Linked DNA regions of Arabidopsis thaliana. The protein of the gene in region 2 interacts with the protein of the main gene of each other region in a biochemical or structural test. Each region holds a gene or a part of one and is shown on either strand. Other genes may lie near its edges.

Region 1 (4,702 bases), on a different chromosome or scaffold from region 2:
CGCTTATCTGATGTGGTGAGGTTTAGGGGTAAAAACAATTAACAAACTCCTCATGATTCATGGAGAACTTAATGAGTGATTCTTTCAACAAAGTATAAACAAGGGCCTAACCTCCATAAATTCTGGAAGTGGGATGCCATGCTGAGAGAAATGAACCTTTTGCATGTATTTATCCTGGAACATCAAACTGCCACATATAAATAAAATTGCTGAAAAACTTTGACTATACATAACTCCATTTGATGAAATATTTGAGAGGTTATGAAACCTGTATTATCCTAATAGTAGAAGCTTTGGGTTGGCAATCCACTCCTTGTTTCTCAAGCTTCTCTAGTGTGTCCACGTCAACATGTTCAATTTCTACAGTTAAGACTCCACATCTAACTACGACAATAAACAAAAATAACCATAAATATTGTAATGAAAATAAGAATTGAGAACCTGAAGCATTCAAGAAACAAACAAAAGAAGAGACCTTTTTGCAAATTCTTCTACTGTAGCACTGTCGTCAAAGCTATCAACCATGTGACCGTAGGACAATGCACTTGCTGAACAATTTTTAGAAGGATCTAAAATCATCACTTTGATAGCCAACTGAGAAGCAGCTTGGCAAAGCATACGACCCAATTGTCCACCCCCAAGAACTCCCACAATTTTCTCAGAAACTCCATGGACATGTTTATTCTCGCGATTCTCACTTGCAAAGAGGAAAGATAAATAACATTAGAAATTCCTTCCCCAGTCTTACTATTTTCAAATCTTTGTGTCTAGTAACAGAGAAACGAGCAGGGAAGCACAGCTAGTTTCTATATTTTATTCGTCATTGCAATTGGTGTGATGCAATCTTAACCACAACAGCTATGCAACTTCTCATGTCCATGAAACTTACAAGAAAAGAGAAATTTTTCTTCATTTTCACAGATTAATATATGCAGGCTTAATTGATATGTGGTTTAAATACAACGACTTTCACCTTTCAGCTTAATTGATCCAATCTCGTTTATCTTTTAACACACCACAATAGCCAAGAAAATAATAAGAATCGAGAAAATACTTAAGAAGAATGGTTGACACCATTATACTCAATACAGGGGACATAGGTACCTGATAGGAGAAGCATCGTGAGAGCTACAGGGCACAGCTGAAGCCGTATTCAATTTCCCAGACGAAGAAGTGGGAAGCTTCTGCAAATTTGCCATAGTCAAACTCTGGAACGACTGCGTTCTGGTCACTGGAAAAGGTCCAACTCTGTAGGTGGAGCGAGAAGTGTGAAGGACTGGAGTTGTATTTCCAACGACAAGAACAGCAGCTGAGCTTTGTTTCAAAAGCAACATCTAGAATGCTATACAAAACGGAATACTTTTAGCACCGTTTTATAAATATGCAATCAAGTAACATGAAAAAGTATGGTAGACCACAATAGAGAATGAACTCAAGCAAAACCCAAGTCAACGTCAATAGCTAAACCAATGAAAACGACGTAAGAAGCTCATGTGAATGGATTCAAGTAACATTCTTAGAGTCAATAGCTAAACTAATAAAGCCGCAGCTTCAACTTGAGAGGAAGGCAAACCTGGGTGAGAGAAGCAGCTAGACAGAGAGAGAAGTCGGAAAGTCAGGTCCAAAGGTTAGATTTTTATAAAGCAAGTTCGATAATAGAGGTGGAAAAAAGCTTCTTCCGGATTTGGAGGCGGCGGCGAGGAGAGAGAAGATCGGTCTGACGGGGAGAGAAGAAAAGGTTTTTGAGAGGTTTTATACAAAACGCAGTCGAAAACCGGAGAAGCCTAATCCGTTTTATGTATAATTTGATTCGGTTAAGAAAACCGAACCGGGTATGATGAGATGTGGTTTTTGATTAGGCTCCACGATTTGATTTGGTCGCACCAAAGATCGGATTTTTATCAGACGGAAAGGAGGAGACGGAAGAAAATGCCGGTGAGAGTTGTTGAGAGCAACACGCCTGCTCAAGTTTCAGGTTTTTGATCGCTTCTTCAAGTTTTGAATTTAGGTTTGTTTGTTTATGTTCCCTCTTTGTGGCTCTCTCGCTCATTTGTTGAGATTTGTTGCCATTTAGGAACTGATCCTGGGAATCGATCACCACTTCCCCCTAGTTCACTTCTCGGCGCTGGCCAGGTACAACGATTAATGAATTAACAAAACATGTTATTTTGCAGAAATTTATTTCTAGGATTCGTATGATACTTGGATTTTTACAAGTTTTTCTCTCAAGTGTCTGACCATAGAGGTCTTGGGAATATTGGTTAGGACTAGAAAGAACTTTATTAGTTATGCTTGTGCATCTGTGGTTATGTATGCACACTCTTTTTATGAACATAACCTTATGTGTAAGCAGAATCTGAGTATACCTATAAAGACATTATCTTAGGGGTTTTTATGTGTAAAGGTGAATTTTCTCTCAAACTTGACAAGTTCTTACTTATGAATACTTGAAATCACAAGAATAGCTAATTTTTTTATTGTTGATTCTGTCGATTGGCTGTGGTAGTTATAGAAGAAACTTTGCTTCACAAGGGTTTGCTAGTATACTTTATGTGAAATTTGTGAGAGAGAGGCTATGGTAAGATGAGAAGGAAAGTTATAAGTTTCCATGATGTTTAGCTACTTAGGTTAGCATAAAAGAACTTAAAGATCTCGTGTCTCGTTGTTCAGGCACAAAGCATCATTCATAGGCAGGCAACAAACATCATGGGTCTAGTTACTTTCTTCCCATTAGATCTGCAACTTGTTCAAGTGTTCTGGTTGCATAACGATTCTCTAGTAATGCTGATTTTTGTTATACCAATTAGAAGTTGGCCTTGTCTGCTTTGATTGGCTTCATATCTTTTTCATGTTGACATGTATGCTTAATTCAAGTGCATTTGTATCTAGTTGGGATTGTATAACATTCATTGGCTCAAAGAGATTGTTTATTCATAATGAACCTAAAGATGAGGAACACACATGTTTTTATGCTGTGCTGCAGGCATTTTCTGGTACGCAAAATGTCTCTAATCAACAGAAGGAGGAAGCTTGGAGAGTCAACGTCCAGATACAGGGTATTGACCTTGAACATGGTTATCTTTGTGGCACCATGGAAGCTCTAAACGTTCCCATGGCAGACACTCCTGTAAGCCCTTACACTCTTACTCATTTTTTCTTCATATTGCTTCCCCTTGAATTTCTAATAGGGGACACGATTCTTGATTCTGTGAGTGTCAGGTCATAACATTCTGGGAAGGGGAAATCGTTGATGGAAAGAATTATACCTTTTACACCGGAAAATGGGAAGCAACGTATGTCCCAATTCCTATATTCTTGTAGATTTGAAACTGATGATTTCTTATCGTGAATAAATTTTTGAAAGTTTGTTTGTCACAGGAGGGAAGATGATATGAGACATTGGTCAAAGTTCCCGTCTTTTTCGCCTCTTCAGGTAACACTCGAGTAACATTGTTTGTATAGTCAGTAACATCTCCTAAGCAACGTTCTGGACTTAATACTGCAGGGACAAGTTGAATCTGATGGTGGCAGGCAATTGGATCTTAACAATTATCCTTATATATTTATGGTATAACTCTCAGTTTTTCCTATCGAATCCAATCATCATTTTCTCTCAAGTATTCCATAATTCCTGCAACTCGGGTTTATTTTTGTGGTGGTGCAGAGATGGAAAGAGCAATACTTTGTAAACGTTGGCACAGATTGTGGACTAACAATAGCTGGATTTTACTACGTATGCTTCTCCTGCAGCGATGGTTCCATCAGCGGTTTCTATTATGATCCAAACAGCAGGTTAGTCCAAGATACAAACTATATAATCTGTTGTTGTTTGAGATAAAACCTGATGATATTTTGTTTCTGGACAGTCCGTTTCAGAAGCTGGAGCTGAAAACAGTTAACGAAGGAAGATCTGGTTTCAGCTTTTCTTCTTACGAGTTGCAATGATGAATGCTACCAAAATCATCAGACAGCGCCATATGATACTCTCGTCTAAACATGCGATGCACGTGATCCAGTACATTATGACGTGTCAATTATTATAAATTATTAGTAAGATATTTTTTTGCTTAGCTAGTAGACCAGACCAAGTAAAGAACTAAAAATACTATTTTGTCATTATGGTACCAAGCTAATAGTTTATCTGGAAAAAGAACAAATTGTCCAAAAAAATAATTACCAAATAGTTGAGAAGTTTTTCTAAAAATTTTTGTAAAAAAAATCCAAATTCTTCTAAAATTAAGTTTTTAATAGAAATTTAAAAAGACAGTTCTACATCATATTATTTTCTTTAAATAATGATATAAAATTTATAAACTATTATCTTTGTAAGATAATGAATATTTATACCTATGTAAGGGAAAAATTGATAAATATTTATACATCCTCATCCAAAAGCCCATAAAATCGTTATGGGACAATAGTAAAAAAGATTGCAAAATCGTATGGAGCGAAAGATAAAAATAAAAAACGGTCCCGTGTAAGAAGATGGGTCACCTCGCCAACACGTAGACTCTTTTCACGCGCCAAATCAAACACCATGTCGACGAGATCAACGGATTCAAATGTTTCGTGTAATACACGCTCCAACGTAGCGCGTCGTACACTTGATGCTTAATTTATGTATTTTAAGTTACGCAGTTTCCAGATTTTCAGACCCTCTGAAAGTGGAAAGAGCATTTTTTAAAAGAGTAATAAGAAAAAC
Region 2 (6,939 bases):
TATTCATTACTACAGTTCTGTTTTTTTCTAAAGGGAAGATCTTTTTATCTTCTTTGATTTGTCTTCTGTAATAAAAAAGGAACAATAACTGATGATCTTCAGTGTGCATTTGAGCTCCATAGTCTCATGTATTCGTCTTCTTGTATAATCCATATTATTTTTTGTTCAAAGTTGACTAAAGACAGGTAAGAAGTCGAGGTTGATCTAATCTAAAAGCTTTCAAAACAGGTAAGCTAATTTATCTGACTTTTCAGATAAAATAATCAACTTGAGAGACTCTTAACGTATGGGTCTAATAAAACTGATTACTTAATTAACATGATAACTTATTTTTTACTTCACACACCATGTGCTTCTTCTAACAGAAAACTAAGTGTACTTCATATGGCCAGCTAATAGATCTCTGTTAAGTTCGAAGAACTATGTTTGCTTCTTCATGGAGTTGAGCCAAAGCTAATTGTTTGAAACCAAGACTTCTTGCAACATAGTCACGAATCATGCATTACCTCTAATACCTTAAAAGAAGGAGATTATATGAAACTAGATAGAATATTTGTTTGAGTTTCTGCCATTATGATAAACCATGGACCGTAAACATTAGCTCATTTCTCCTATATTACTTATTTTGAATGATACATCATGAAACCAAAACACTCAGGAGGAGATTAGATATGCATCCATATTTACAGCTTCAGAAAAGAGTTCAACAGAAGATGTAAATGGATGGATATTTCATCGTTACTGAAATTTGAAAACGAAAACAAAAGCGATAAGGAAAGTTACAAGCAAAGAACAACCAGTGACTATTTTATATCAAGCCAGACCCCTTTTCTTTTGGGGACTACTTGTTTGCTGCAGCGAGTTCCGCAGTGATAATGAAACTTGATTTCCCAGCTTGTCTCAAGTACTGAACATCTCCATTCATCAGCTTCACCAGTTTCCGGCTAACCATTAAGCTCAATCCTTCTTCTGACACATCTTCCTCAGTCCCAAACATTTGGTTTAGTAAAAACTCAGGTATCCCAGCTCCGGTATGCGTTAACCTGTTTTCATAATCCCAATATCCTCAATGCACTGTTTTTAACATCATATTATGCATTCTGATTATGAATATATCTATTTTACCTGATCTCTAGATTAGCAAGATGCACAGAACGCCCGAGCTGATCCTTCCTCAGGGAAGCTGAAACAGTTAGCTGACCTCCGGATGGTGTAAAGTTTACAGCCATCAGCATGAAATCTGCCAAGACTTGTTGAAGCCTAATACTGTCTCCATACAAAGTGTCAGACATTACTTCTTCTCCGGTCTCATTTGTTATCCGAACACTCTTTCCGTTACTCTTCATCATTACTTGACTTGTGGAAGCAGTCAACACTTCATTTAAGGTGAATTCTTTCATTTCCAAATCCAAGCATCTGCACAGTCAAATTCCAACATAAGAACACAGATAAACCATATTTTAAATGGACTTTCATTCTAGCATACCCTTCAATGATGCTTTCAAGATCCGAATCATCGAGGATCTTGCTTAGTTGCTTCTGACATAACGCGCTAGTTTGCAAAATCCGTCTTTGCTCTGGTCCTAATTCAGTACCCTCTATCATTTTCCTTGTAAACATGATCCCAGATAGCGGATTCCTGATCTGTCTTTTTATGTATGCTAGAGCCTTTAGTCTCTTCACTGCGGTTCGCTCAGCTAAACGTTGAACATGGAGCGCTTGCTGCAGCTCATGGCTGGCAAGTTGCAGGAAACAGAAGACACCTGTCACTACACCTTCCCTGTCCAGTTTCTTACTCACACACAACAGACACTCCACATACTTGCCACCTCTTGTAAAGAAAGCAAACGATACTTTCTCTGGATCTTGACTGGTCACAGCATTGTTCAGCACAATCCCAAGGTTTACAAAGGCTTCTTGATTCTTTAGACGACAACATGACTTCTGCGTCCCAAATACTTCTCCTAAGAGCATTTTGTCAATCACTTCCTCTCGCTTCAAACCGGTTAACTTTGACATTGCTGGATTCCACTCTGTGCACCATCCAAACTCATCGGTACCAAATATTGGCGGGATCAGCGGGTTTGGATTTTGGATGATTGCCTTGTAATCACCTTCAATCCGCGTAAACTTGTCCATCACAGTCTTCTGGCCAGTAAGATCATGGGCTACAAAACACACCCCAACCACGTTTTCATGGAGATCTCTACTTGCGCATGCATTTACAACTAAACTTATTGGCCCAGCATCAGCCCTGGACAGATGTGTCTTGATCTCAAACTGGACATTCTGCTCCTCAGTTCCTGCATAGATAAGCAAGTGAAGTTATAGACTCGGCTTCAGTGTTTGATAAAATTGGAAAACAAAATTCCATCATTAAGAACCAAAAACAACACATTGCATCAAGTTTCTTCGACCACGATACTCAATTGGAACTTGAATAGTGAAATCTAGTTGGAAGATTCTTAGCAAACTCAGCATAACTTAGGAAGAGAGTTTACCTTCTAATGCGTTCTCTAGCATCCTTTTAACGATTTCCACTGAAGAATCTTCAACAAGTGTGAGGAAATGCTTCCCGATTGCTTCATCAACCGAAAGACCAGTCAGCTCAGCAATTTTCGTGTTCCAACCATTAACCAGTCCATCAGAATCAACCGCCAATATTGGCACCGTAGCAGTCTCAATTAAACGAACCATCTCACTGGTCACAGCTTCTAGTTCTTGTATACCATCAATTTTGAGATCATTTAGCTTCGAGTAAATGACCTTTGTATTCACATCAGTAGTTTCACTATCCTTGAAAGCATTCCTCAAAATAAGTTGCAAGGAGTGTATGGCATCCATCTCATAGTCCTTCCAAGGTAAACTCCTTGTCTTGACCACTTCAAGGAAAGCCTTGAACGATGACCTTGGGTGCATTCTCCTTGCATCATCCCTATCATCTGGATCATGCTTCGCACCTCCCCATCTCACTTCACCAGCGGTATGAGAACGGAACCAGAAAATCATGTCTTTCGATGATATCCTCACAGCTGCCATCCCACATACCGAATCCCCGAGAGATAGAGCCCTAGGAAACCCGGCGTCATGCAAACTATCAGTGCTCAAACCCGTTGAATCCATGTGGTATTCACACAACCATGAAGCTATCTCCTGCAGGTGGAACTCACTTGGAGTTGTTCCCAGTTTCCATATCTTGTCTTTATACAAGAGAGCTGCTCCATCACATTTCACAAGGTCCATTATGTTGGGGCTTTGCGACACAATACCCAGTGGAGCATCACGCATCAGCATATCGCACAAGAGTGTCTGCGTGCGCAAAATGTTCTTCTCCACCATCTGGTTATCGAGTTCCACCTCCTTATTGACGTGTATGGCAAACACTTGAGCTAGAAACTCACAGGCATACCTGAGAGGAAATGGAACAAACCTCGGAGTCGTATTGTGACAAACCACTAAACCCCATAGTCTCTTTCTCTTTTGAGGCTGTGTAGTAGCATCAGGAGCATCCCCTTCTCCATCTTCCTCGTTAACTACAACCGCCATAACCAGAGATGCAATTGAATCCATGTTGGCCATGTACTGCAAATGGCAGCTGTGCGGTGCTCTAAGGGTGGAGCCACACAAGGTAAGGTCAAAGGAAAGCTTTTCATCTTGAAGCACCCTAGCATGTTTTGCATTGCAATCAACTATCATCCGGACCTTGTTCTTCATAAACAGAAAACGGGCTGCTTGAGGGATGTCGGTGGCAGGATAATGCAGCCCAAGATAAGGCTCCAGCCCAGGTTTTGTAACCTCGGAGACAACCTCACCGTGATCATCTTCATGAAACTTATAAGCCATCACCCTGTCATACCCCGTGAGTTCAAAAACCTCTTGAACCATTGTATCACAAAGCCTTTCCATACTCCCGCTGGGTAAAGATTGCAGCCTAGTGATTGCTTTGGCAGCGAGCTTGTATGATTGTAAGGCACCAGCAGCTGTCATGGGGACTTCATAAGGCTTCACGGGTTCAAAGTCGATGATGATGCTCCCTGTAACCCTGTGGATAATCGCATAAAAGGGCTTTGCAGAAGTCCTGCAGTGCACAAGAATGGGATTCAAAAGAGAGACATCTCCAAATCCAAGGGCTTTCTGCAATGCAGACGCACTAGGAGCAGTGAAAAGACTCCTTATATCTGTCCCAATGCCTAGAACAGGGTGTTCGCCAACACTAGGAACTGCATGACTGGCCATTGTCAACAGCTCAGATGCATTCTCGCTGTATGCAATAACTTTGAAGGTCTTCTCATCCAAGGCAAGTAAACAACCGAAGGGCTGAATCAGCTTTCCCTTCTGTATATGATGAAGATAAGTCGTGGTAACTTTGTCAGACCTTGGTGGCTGATTCTCCACAACCGGGCCAGTGACACGCACTGAGGTTGAGTAATCAAAGGAGCTGCCTGACTCCTCAAAATCAGCATGGAGTTTCGCATCTACAGTGGTCTGCGCAATGATCCTAGCGCTGTGCCTTGATCGCCTTGAGCCCTCAGAGGACTGAGTCGGCCTAGAGCCTGACATTTTTTTCCTGACACAGAGACAAGACAACAAAAAATAAGTGCAAAACTCTGATAAAAGAGGGAATAAAACATTCATGCCATAATCATATGAACACAAAAACATTCATCACCAGTCATACAAGCGAATGCATAAGCATAAACTTGAAACACTAAGAACCAATTCAGAATTTCAAACACACAGTAAAAAGAGTTATGAACTTGACTAACTCCATCGAGAATACATAGCTAAACCCAGAAACAGGACGCAACAGATGCAGGAATCATCGTGTCATATTCCAAGGTTCAATGATTTATCATTTTCAAAGTAACTGAACCAGTCAGATTCCATGAACACTTCCTTTCTAAGTCATCCTACAATCCAAAATCAACAACATCTTGACTATGAACAAGTCGCACAAATAATAGTTGATAGTTAACAGGGTAAATCCACTACACAAATACTAACAAAACGAGGATCTGAGCTAATATCAGCCTCTCAAGATTCAAACACAGCTACATACATAAAGTAGACTCAATAATAAACTCTTAAGAGTCTTTATAGCTAGCTATACCTTTCAAAAGGAACAATAAAGTCCCCACAGGGAAAGCAATCGTAGGAGTTAAAAGCGATAAAAGGATGAGATTAATTAATTGGATGCTTCTTCTCATAAATGATCACACACTATAAAAAGTTGAGTAAAACAAACACACATCAAGCCAGATCGAAAGAGACCTACAAAACCTTTATATCGCAGAAAACAAGAGGGTATTGATGACAACAGAGGATAGCTTTAAGAAATTAACTTCAAAGTTAGAATCAATTTCAGTAAGAAGAGTGAGACCAGTAGCTAGCTGGTAAGCTCCCAGCAGAAATCAATCGAAGCAAGCTTCAATATATATAGTTAAAAAAAGAAAAAAAAGGAGGAAACTTTGGGAAAAGGAAAGTAGGTACCTTTAAAGAGAAGAAAGAAGAAGAAGAAGTTTCAAGAAGCCATGATCAGATCTTGTGACTAGTCACACTCGTCAGAGGCTTTTTGTTATAGTTAAATTCTAAATCTTGGCCTCGATCACCACCTTCTCTCTTGTGCTACGCCTCTCTATTATTTGTGCTCCCTAACACAGACGACGACGATGAATGGGACCACCCCGAATACGTATGCCCATGTCTCGGAGTATGGGCGATTTGTATATTTTATAATGGAATAAAATAAAAGAAGAAAAAAGCTTAATTTGGATAAAAGACAAACTTCACACACATATCAAGAACAGGGTCGGCTTCGCCGGTAACATTTTCCTCGCTAAAACAGAACAGTGGGCTTAAGATATATCAAGTACTACTACTTGTAAATCTTGGCAACTTTCTGGGGAATATTAATTGATATTTTCACCGATGTGACTAAGACTGTGTAATGAGGAAAAAAGAAGTAAAGTGGAAGAAGAACAAAATGGGGTTGATTCTTATAAATCCGATTGAAGAGAATCGTCCAAAGGATAAGAGATCAAAAGTAAAAAAAAAAAAAAAGATTATTAATAAAATAAAAAAACGAGAAAGAGAGAGAGAAAGAAAGATGGTGGTAGTTGTTTAATGAAGGCAGTAACCAGAAGTAGAAAGTTGGGTTTTGAGGAAGACGACAACGATAGTCTTATGGGCTTCACGTTTTCTCGGCTTTTTGCGTTTTGTAATCTGTTTCTGGGATTTACTTCAAAGTTGGGACTTTCCTTTTTTGTATTTTTTTTTATCGTTGAAAGAAAGTAATAAAATTTGTAAAACTAATTTAAGTTTATTCGAAGAATTTAAATTTGTTTTATTTTTTATATAAAAAGGGTAAAAAAATCGTTATTAAGGTTTTATTTTTTTTTCGTCAAACAAAATCCATATCGTTTTAACATCATTGTCAAACTTCGATTCGTTCTTATCGCAAATCCACGTTACCATGTTTTCTTAGGTATTTTGCTTCTATCCTCTTAAAGTTAAATCTCCCCCTAAGTTTTTTGCAGTAAATCTCCGGAGAAGATCGAATCGACAACGTCTTATCTAGACAGCGCAATTCAGCATAGATATTGTGGCACAGCTATGTTGGACCAAAAATGTGCCTCCATAATGCAAATGTTGTCCTAGCAACACAGTATCATCCATTAGACATAGTCATGGCCCATGTTGCACATATCTGAATTGGCAAAAGGTACTAATCCCATTTCAGGAATAACACTTTGAAGAACAAAACAAATATGAGCTTAGGAGACTTCTTAATGGCCGGCCAAGAACGCTTCAATCACTAGGGATGTGATGGTTTGGAACTTTAAGGCGCCCTTTGAGAGCTATTTCATTTTCACTCTTTTGATATTGAACTCTCAAAACAACTGTTCATTACCATGTGTTTTCTCGGTTTTTAATGTGTGT
Region 3 (3,438 bases), on a different chromosome or scaffold from region 2:
CTCTTACTCATTTTTTCTTCATATTGCTTCCCCTTGAATTTCTAATAGGGGACACGATTCTTGATTCTGTGAGTGTCAGGTCATAACATTCTGGGAAGGGGAAATCGTTGATGGAAAGAATTATACCTTTTACACCGGAAAATGGGAAGCAACGTATGTCCCAATTCCTATATTCTTGTAGATTTGAAACTGATGATTTCTTATCGTGAATAAATTTTTGAAAGTTTGTTTGTCACAGGAGGGAAGATGATATGAGACATTGGTCAAAGTTCCCGTCTTTTTCGCCTCTTCAGGTAACACTCGAGTAACATTGTTTGTATAGTCAGTAACATCTCCTAAGCAACGTTCTGGACTTAATACTGCAGGGACAAGTTGAATCTGATGGTGGCAGGCAATTGGATCTTAACAATTATCCTTATATATTTATGGTATAACTCTCAGTTTTTCCTATCGAATCCAATCATCATTTTCTCTCAAGTATTCCATAATTCCTGCAACTCGGGTTTATTTTTGTGGTGGTGCAGAGATGGAAAGAGCAATACTTTGTAAACGTTGGCACAGATTGTGGACTAACAATAGCTGGATTTTACTACGTATGCTTCTCCTGCAGCGATGGTTCCATCAGCGGTTTCTATTATGATCCAAACAGCAGGTTAGTCCAAGATACAAACTATATAATCTGTTGTTGTTTGAGATAAAACCTGATGATATTTTGTTTCTGGACAGTCCGTTTCAGAAGCTGGAGCTGAAAACAGTTAACGAAGGAAGATCTGGTTTCAGCTTTTCTTCTTACGAGTTGCAATGATGAATGCTACCAAAATCATCAGACAGCGCCATATGATACTCTCGTCTAAACATGCGATGCACGTGATCCAGTACATTATGACGTGTCAATTATTATAAATTATTAGTAAGATATTTTTTTGCTTAGCTAGTAGACCAGACCAAGTAAAGAACTAAAAATACTATTTTGTCATTATGGTACCAAGCTAATAGTTTATCTGGAAAAAGAACAAATTGTCCAAAAAAATAATTACCAAATAGTTGAGAAGTTTTTCTAAAAATTTTTGTAAAAAAAATCCAAATTCTTCTAAAATTAAGTTTTTAATAGAAATTTAAAAAGACAGTTCTACATCATATTATTTTCTTTAAATAATGATATAAAATTTATAAACTATTATCTTTGTAAGATAATGAATATTTATACCTATGTAAGGGAAAAATTGATAAATATTTATACATCCTCATCCAAAAGCCCATAAAATCGTTATGGGACAATAGTAAAAAAGATTGCAAAATCGTATGGAGCGAAAGATAAAAATAAAAAACGGTCCCGTGTAAGAAGATGGGTCACCTCGCCAACACGTAGACTCTTTTCACGCGCCAAATCAAACACCATGTCGACGAGATCAACGGATTCAAATGTTTCGTGTAATACACGCTCCAACGTAGCGCGTCGTACACTTGATGCTTAATTTATGTATTTTAAGTTACGCAGTTTCCAGATTTTCAGACCCTCTGAAAGTGGAAAGAGCATTTTTTAAAAGAGTAATAAGAAAAACAATTATCTTTGAACTCTCTCTATCTCTCTCTCTCTCTCTGCGATCTATGCCTGAAGTGGAAGTGGATAACAACAACGAGAAGCCATCTGAGATTAACAGGTTTCAGTTTCTCAATCTATTCCTATATATTATCATTAGAGATCAAATTTCTTATTATGCTTCTTCTCAGTTTCTTTAAGATACAGAGGATTGACTGATTATGTATGTATTCATGTCAATGGTTGACCAAAAATCATAGCTGCAGAGGATGATTGAAGTTTTATCTTGATTTTAGCTTATTTAATCGTTGAGATTAAGAAAGTTTTCCTGTTATTCTTTCCTAAACCCTTATTAAGTTCAAGATTAATAAAGTCAATTTCATATATTTGGTGATTAAGATCCATCCACTATCTTAATATGTGTTGTTCTTTTTTTTTGCAGTTTCCATCACATGATCATAAGTAGTAGTAAAAATGTGTTGAAAATGGAAGAAGTTGAGGTGAGCAAGAAGAGGAAATTTCAGACAGATCAATCTGATGAGTTATCGTTATTACCTCTGTCAAAACACACTTGTTTTGCCAATGTTGCTTGTTCAGAGAATACAAATGGTAACTCGGAGATTGATACAGAGTATTCAATGTCTTCTTATGTGAACTCAACAACTTCTATGGAGTGTAACAATGATATAGAGATGAAAGAGGAATCATCTGGATCATGCGGTGAAGACAAGATGATCTCTTTCGAAAGCCATCTAGATTACATCTATGGGACTCAGAACTTAGAGGATTTTTCAGAGAAAGTCATTGAAAACATTCTCTATCTCGATGAACAAGAAGAAGAAGAGGAAGATGCTAAAGGATGTAGTAGTAATGCTGCTAAGTTTGTTCTGTCCTCTGGAAGATGGACTGTTAACCAAGGTAAAGAAAACCGGATTTTGGTTTGACCGTATTGATTCAATGAACCGGGGATTCACTAACTTGGTTTCATGTGTACAGATGATTCTACTCTACATGAGACAAAGAAGCCTACCATTGATCAAGAATTTGAACAATACTTCTCAACGCTAATGCTGTAACAAAATGATGTTGAGACTCAAAACATATATGAAGAGATGTATGTACATAGAACTGTACTCGTTCTGTTTTGATTCTTGTCAACCTTAAAAAAACGTTCAATTCAAAGTGATTAGAGAGCTTCTTTGAAATGTTTGCAACTCTAGTCTTCAACTTTTAAGATTTTTATTAGCTTGCAAAACTAATCTTGCTTATATATCTTGTTCTGCCTGGATCAGAAATAAAAGTTAGTATAAAAAAATTCTGAGATGATTATGACACTCTGATCCTTCATATGAACCAATCTTGTGTTCAAGAGTATCCCTGATGTATTTCAGTACCAACTTAACTGAGAAATGAGAGTCAATGTTCTTTAATAAGTTTGTTCAGATGATATCTTCTTCTTTTTTTGGTTGGTCACCTATATTCAATCTGCTCTCTCCAAATTATCTCCAATACACTCTCTTCTGAACATAATACAAAAATTCATAACTTTTTCTTATTATGGTCAAAAGTCTTGTTAATATTCAACTTGTTCCTTTCTAATGTAAAATCTAAACTGATTTAATAAAGAAAAAGATGATAGCTTATTGATATTCTTCCTAGTAAAACATTTTGGCATGATGGTCAAGACTCAAGATTTGCTAGAATGTGGTTCCCTCGCATTATCAGTCTTCTTGGTCAATGTCTAGTAGTTTTAAATTCGCTATAAAAATAGCAAAAAAAAACAAAAACAAAAAATTGTTGATTAAAAAGAAATTAACACCAAACTTTAAAAATAGTTATCCTTAGTAATTTTATGTAAGTATCTTTAACACGTAAAGTCGAACATAGTATATGATTTT
Region 4 (5,095 bases), on a different chromosome or scaffold from region 2:
TCCCCACCAATGTGAGTCCATATCTGATTCTCTGTTTCTTTCTTCCCTACTTGGAATTATATAAAAATATGTATATACATATTAATGTGTATATATATATATATATGTGCGTGTTCCCATATCAATGATAAATGCTCTTTATCAAAAGGTAAAATGATTATAAAAAAAAATAAGTTGTTTCATTTTATTTGTTGTTTTCAATGCAAAATTTATTATTATTTTATTATTTTTGATTCTTGAAATTCTGCAACTTTTTATTGGTTAAATTATTTTAAAATATGTAATTAAACATATTTTTAAAATTTAAGAAAACAGAAACTAAATGATCTTAATCAATGTACCAAAATCTTAAACTAGAACAAAATAGAAACAAAAGAAGTATTATAGAAGAAATTAACACTTTGTTCACTAACTTGACTACTATAAATGATTATAAATTAACACTTTATGTAGCATTCGACTTTTCTGTTTATAGAAGAGGAGACTCACTTAAGTCTTTAATATCATGTTTGCATATGTTGTAGTCTTTTGTTTTTAACATCTTTGGATTGACATGGTCTATTCTATAGCCAATATCTATTATGCAAGATAACACGATTTAGTGGAGTCAAACTCTGGTGGAAAAAGCGGAATCAAATGGATTTAACCACAAGACTAAAGGAATATTTCCTGCAAGATATATGTAGTCTTAAATCTATAATTTAGCGATATAAAAAAGGACAATTTTTAAATATGATACTTAAGTTTTTGTTTATTTCTTTAAAAATACCACTTAATGTTTGGTTTCTTAAAATAACATAAAACTTAAATTTAACTTCCAACATTCAAAATTAAACTCTAAACTTTAAACACTAAACCCTAACCCCTAAAAACAATATCTTAAAATTAAAATGGTCAATTCAAACTTAATTTTTTTAATTCTGATGAACTCTTGAAAATCAAAATTGAAGTATAATATTTTTGGAAAACAAAACTTTTGGTGGTATTTTGACAACACAACTTGAAAGTGTGATATTTTGCTACAATACTCCTCTAGAATTCGAGGCTCCCTTAAAACAAAATATTATTTTCGTGTCAGTCATATTTTTTTGAGACATTTCTCAAAATACCACATTTTCAAGTCTTATTGCTAAAATACCATTTCATCCGGTATTCGATCTTCTATCAAAAGAAAATTATATTCATGTAGGATGTCTAGGTTTGGTCCAGACAAGTTAAATGGTAATCTGGTAACATGCGATTCAGTTATGTTTAAGTGTTAATCAGTTAATATTCTAAACTCGGAATAAATGTGTGATGATCCTTGAATATAAATTTATTTTGTAATACTTAAATATATTTTTACCAAAATTAACCGGATCATTGGATAAAGTTTATAAAATAATTTTTTTTTGATGATAATGCCATGAAAACAATTTATAGTACGGATGAGAAACAATGAGGCTGATTATTTTATCTCCGTCAGCTACAAATGATCTCAGACATTTTGTTTTTATGTTCAACTTGGTTTTTTATTCAGAGGTTAAAAAATGGGCACAAGTTTCTATTCAGACACATACACACATAAATAAAATAGAGAATTCACTGTTAAAGTTAGTTGACACAATAGTAAATGCGATACATGCTAGAGTCACGGAAGAGGCAAAAACAAACTCCAAAGAGAGACATATAAGAAAAAGACAAAAACCCTTAAGAAGCTTATCACATTCTTAAAGCACGAAAATTCAGAATAAGATTCAGTCATCCTTTAGCACAAAAAAAAAAAAAAAAAGATCCAGTCATCCAATACTAGTTCCCCAGAAATAAAGGTGATATATTTTTTTTTTTGAGAAGCCTATCCAGTACCAACCTCAATTCTCTAGGTTAGATATAGTCTGGGTAGTATATATGTTTCTTCACTGATTAGTAATCTCTGTGTGTAGTACACTTACTCACTAGTGCTACTCTTTTGGATCTTTCTGGGGTTTTTCTTTTGGTTATAAAACCAGAAGAAGAAGATAACTGTTTGTTATTTTAATACTTACCATTATCATCATCTTTGTAGAGAGAGAGATATGCATCATTTTGTCCCTGACTTCGATACCGATGATGATTATGTCAACAACCATAATTCTTCTTTGAATCATCTTCCTAGAAAATCCATTACTACTATGTAAGTTCTTTTATTCAAACTTATATTAAAAAAAAAAAAAAGTTTGATTAGTTCAAGATCTGAGTATTTATAGTATTGAAAACTTTAGGGGTGAAGATGATGATCTTATGGAGCTTTTATGGCAGAACGGTCAAGTTGTTGTTCAAAACCAGAGACTTCACACCAAGAAACCTTCTTCTTCTCCACCGAAGCTTCTTCCTTCTATGGATCCTCAGCAGCAACCTTCTTCAGATCAGAATCTTTTTATTCAAGAAGATGAAATGACTTCTTGGCTTCATTATCCTCTCCGTGACGATGATTTCTGCTCAGATCTTCTCTTCTCCGCCGCACCTACTGCGACGGCTACCGCGACGGTGAGTCAAGTCACCGCCGCGAGACCGCCAGTATCTTCGACGAATGAGTCGAGGCCGCCGGTGAGGAACTTCATGAATTTCTCGAGGCTGAGAGGGGATTTTAATAACGGTAGAGGTGGTGAATCTGGACCGTTGCTTTCGAAGGCGGTTGTGAGAGAATCTACGCAGGTAAGTCCTAGCGCAACACCGTCGGCGGCGGCGAGTGAATCCGGTTTAACACGGCGGACGGATGGTACTGACAGTTCCGCCGTAGCTGGAGGCGGCGCGTATAATCGGAAGGGAAAAGCAGTGGCTATGACGGCGCCGGCGATCGAGATAACCGGTACATCGTCATCTGTAGTGTCAAAGAGCGAAATCGAACCGGAGAAGACGAACGTCGATGATAGGAAACGAAAAGAGAGAGAAGCCACCACTACTGATGAAACTGAATCCCGTAGCGAGGTGAGTCAAAAAAACACAGAACAGAGTCGTTGTTAGCTATCGTGCGCAAGTCAAATACGGCGCATTTTAGTCTGACTTTGTAGTTTTCAGCGCATTTTTAATTAACTTTTTTGGTGTTTTCTTGTGGTGCAGGAAACAAAACAAGCACGTGTATCAACAACATCTACCAAGAGATCTCGTGCTGCTGAAGTTCATAATCTCTCTGAAAGAGTACGTTTGTGTTTTTTCTTATGTTTTTGTAATCTTTTTCGATAAAGATTTCGCAATGAATCTGAAGAATGTCGCGGATTTGGTAACAGAAACGGAGAGATAGGATCAATGAGAGAATGAAAGCTTTGCAAGAACTTATACCTCGCTGCAACAAGGTCTTCGACGATCTTTTTTCTTTCTCTTCAAGTTATTGTATACGTTAACCTTGTTACTGATTGTTGTTTCTTTGATCCTCAGTCAGATAAAGCTTCGATGCTAGATGAAGCTATTGAGTACATGAAATCTCTTCAGCTTCAAATACAGGTTCATTTTCTTTAAAGGATTCTAAGTCTTGAAAGCCCTTTTTAAGTTCTTGAAAATGTACACTTTACCATGAAAACTCCAGTTTATATGACTGAGATTAATGCAGATGATGTCAATGGGATGTGGAATGATGCCAATGATGTATCCGGGCATGCAACAGTACATGCCTCATATGGCGATGGGTATGGGTATGAACCAGCCTATTCCTCCTCCTTCCTTCATGCCATTCCCCAACATGTTAGCCGCTCAAAGACCTTTGCCTACACAAACTCACATGGCCGGGTCAGGACCGCAATACCCTGTTCATGCTTCTGACCCGTCAAGAGTCTTTGTACCGAACCAGCAGTATGATCCAACCTCGGGCCAGCCTCAGTATCCAGCTGGTTACACGGATCCATATCAGCAGTTCCGCGGTCTCCACCCGACCCAACCACCTCAGTTTCAGGTACTAAACAGTCATCTCTTTCCCAAAAATGACTAGTTCCTCTGCTTACAAGTCACAAGTTCTTATCTTTCTTATTTTAGAATCAAGCAACATCGTACCCAAGTTCGAGCAGGGTGAGTAGTAGTAAGGAATCTGAGGATCACGGAAACCACACAACAGGTTAATAATGTCCATGGAGCAACAAGAAGATCTGTTTTCACAAGCAAACACAATTTCTTATCCGACCCGACCCAACCACCTCAGTTTCAGGTACTAAACAGTCATCTTTTTCCCAAAAATGGCTAGTTCCTCTGCTTACAAGTCACAAGTTCTTATCTTTCTTATTTTAGAATCAAGCAACATCGTATCCAAGTTCGAGCAGGGTGAGTAGTAGTAAGGAATCTGAGGATCACGGAAACCACACAACAGGTTAATAATGTCCATGGAGCAACAAGAAGATCTGTTTTCACAAGCAAACACAATTTTGAGAAATTGACAGAGAGACCTAACATGTATATATATCGCCATCTGTTTCTTGTTTTTCTTTGGTTTGTTTTGTCCTCTCTTCTCAGGTTGTATACTTAGAGAGCTGTACATGTAATGATCCAGAGATCTAGGAATCAATACATAGAGGTTGCAGAGGCTTAGTGCAAAGAATAAATATGAGAAAGTTAGGTTCATATACATACCCGATCATTATTCTTTTCTCGTCTATTATTATTACTTTTGACGAAAGCAATTCTTGATTAAGCTTAACAGTGAATATTTACAAATGTTCCACTCCCAAGTCCCAAAGACTTATCGATACAAATGCACAAACAAATCTTAGTCCTTGCAACTAAGCTCACAATGTGACACAAAATATGTAAATAGACGGACAAAAGCCAGCAAACAAAAGCAAGAAAATTAATGATGTAATTGGCCAAGCATTGCCCATTTTGTAGTGTCTTTCATAGGATCTCTTCATCTAAAAACGTAGTGATGTCAACTAATATGGTATCTCCAGTCCATGACCATAATATCGAAAATATAAAGCTAAAAGAAAAGGCAAACAAATTTCTCAAACCGTTAAGACTTGCTATCTCCATGACCATAAGACTTGACAAACATGCATATATATGTATCAAACCGTTAAATCAATTTTGTATTTGCTTAATAAAGAAGATGTAAAAAGAAGTTTAACATTTATAGTATTTGAAAACTTATATATTA

Evidence for each region.
Region 1: the proteins of PHYA (region 2) and AT2G37680 form a complex in vitro, tested with the Arabidopsis thaliana proteins (one study listed by BioGRID).
Region 3: the proteins of PHYA (region 2) and FHY1 form a complex in vitro, tested with the Arabidopsis thaliana proteins (2 studies listed by BioGRID, with this or other methods).
Region 4: the proteins of PHYA (region 2) and PIL5 form a complex in vitro, tested with the Arabidopsis thaliana proteins (3 studies listed by BioGRID).

What each region holds. Positions count from the first base shown.
Region 1 is NC_003071.7:15,802,743-15,807,444, reverse strand, and holds AT2G37680 (glucose-induced degradation-like protein), read left to right. Parts: upstream 1-1,771; 5' UTR 1,772-1,842; coding exon 1,843-1,975; intron 1,976-2,074; coding exon 2,075-2,133; intron 2,134-2,983; coding exon 2,984-3,127; intron 3,128-3,219; coding exon 3,220-3,293; intron 3,294-3,378; coding exon 3,379-3,433; intron 3,434-3,505; coding exon 3,506-3,568; intron 3,569-3,664; coding exon 3,665-3,792; intron 3,793-3,866; coding exon 3,867-3,945; 3' UTR 3,946-4,202; downstream 4,203-4,702. Other genes in the region: AT2G37690 (phosphoribosylaminoimidazole carboxylase, putative / AIR carboxylase), read right to left, coding at 1-7, 112-174, 269-380, 476-697, 1,105-1,334.
Region 2 is NC_003070.9:3,094,657-3,101,595, forward strand, and holds PHYA (phytochrome A), read right to left. Parts: upstream 5,175-6,939; 5' UTR 4,772-5,174; coding exon 4,767-4,771; intron 4,568-4,766; coding exon 2,502-4,567; intron 2,304-2,501; coding exon 1,487-2,303; intron 1,417-1,486; coding exon 1,126-1,416; intron 1,044-1,125; coding exon 842-1,043; 3' UTR 547-841; downstream 1-546. UniProt on the Arabidopsis thaliana protein: Regulatory photoreceptor which exists in two forms that are reversibly interconvertible by light: the Pr form that absorbs maximally in the red region of the spectrum and the Pfr form that absorbs maximally in the far-red region.
Region 3 is NC_003071.7:15,800,867-15,804,304, reverse strand, and holds FHY1 (far-red elongated hypocotyl 1), read left to right. Parts: upstream 1-1,511; 5' UTR 1,512-1,608; coding exon 1,609-1,661; intron 1,662-1,982; coding exon 1,983-2,458; coding exon of another isoform or gene 2,459-2,484; exon of another isoform or gene 2,485-2,536; coding exon 2,537-2,616; 3' UTR 2,617-2,887; downstream 2,888-3,438. Other genes in the region: AT2G37680 (glucose-induced degradation-like protein), read left to right, coding at 80-153, 239-293, 366-428, 525-652, 727-805. UniProt on the Arabidopsis thaliana protein: Key regulator of far red / red (FR/R) spectrum-specific responses essential for the adaption to changing light conditions (e.g. de-etiolation), essentially by regulating PHYA shuttling from the cytoplasm to the nucleus and by directly regulating the expression of some target genes, depending on light conditions and phosphorylation status.
Region 4 is NC_003071.7:8,703,498-8,708,592, reverse strand, and holds PIL5 (phytochrome interacting factor 3-like 5), read left to right. Parts: upstream 1-1,588; 5' UTR 1,589-1,808; exon of another isoform or gene 1,809-2,044; 5' UTR 2,045-2,054; coding exon 2,055-2,152; intron 2,153-2,240; coding exon 2,241-2,946; intron 2,947-3,078; coding exon 3,079-3,156; intron 3,157-3,245; coding exon 3,246-3,311; intron 3,312-3,393; coding exon 3,394-3,459; coding exon of another isoform or gene 3,460-3,474; intron 3,475-3,565; coding exon 3,566-3,904; intron 3,905-3,984; coding exon 3,985-4,068; 3' UTR 4,069-4,153; intron 4,154-4,233; coding exon of another isoform or gene 4,234-4,317; 3' UTR 4,318-4,569; downstream 4,570-5,095. UniProt on the Arabidopsis thaliana protein: Transcription activator. Negatively regulates chlorophyll biosynthesis and seed germination in the dark, and lightinduced degradation of PIF1 relieves this negative regulation to promote photomorphogenesis.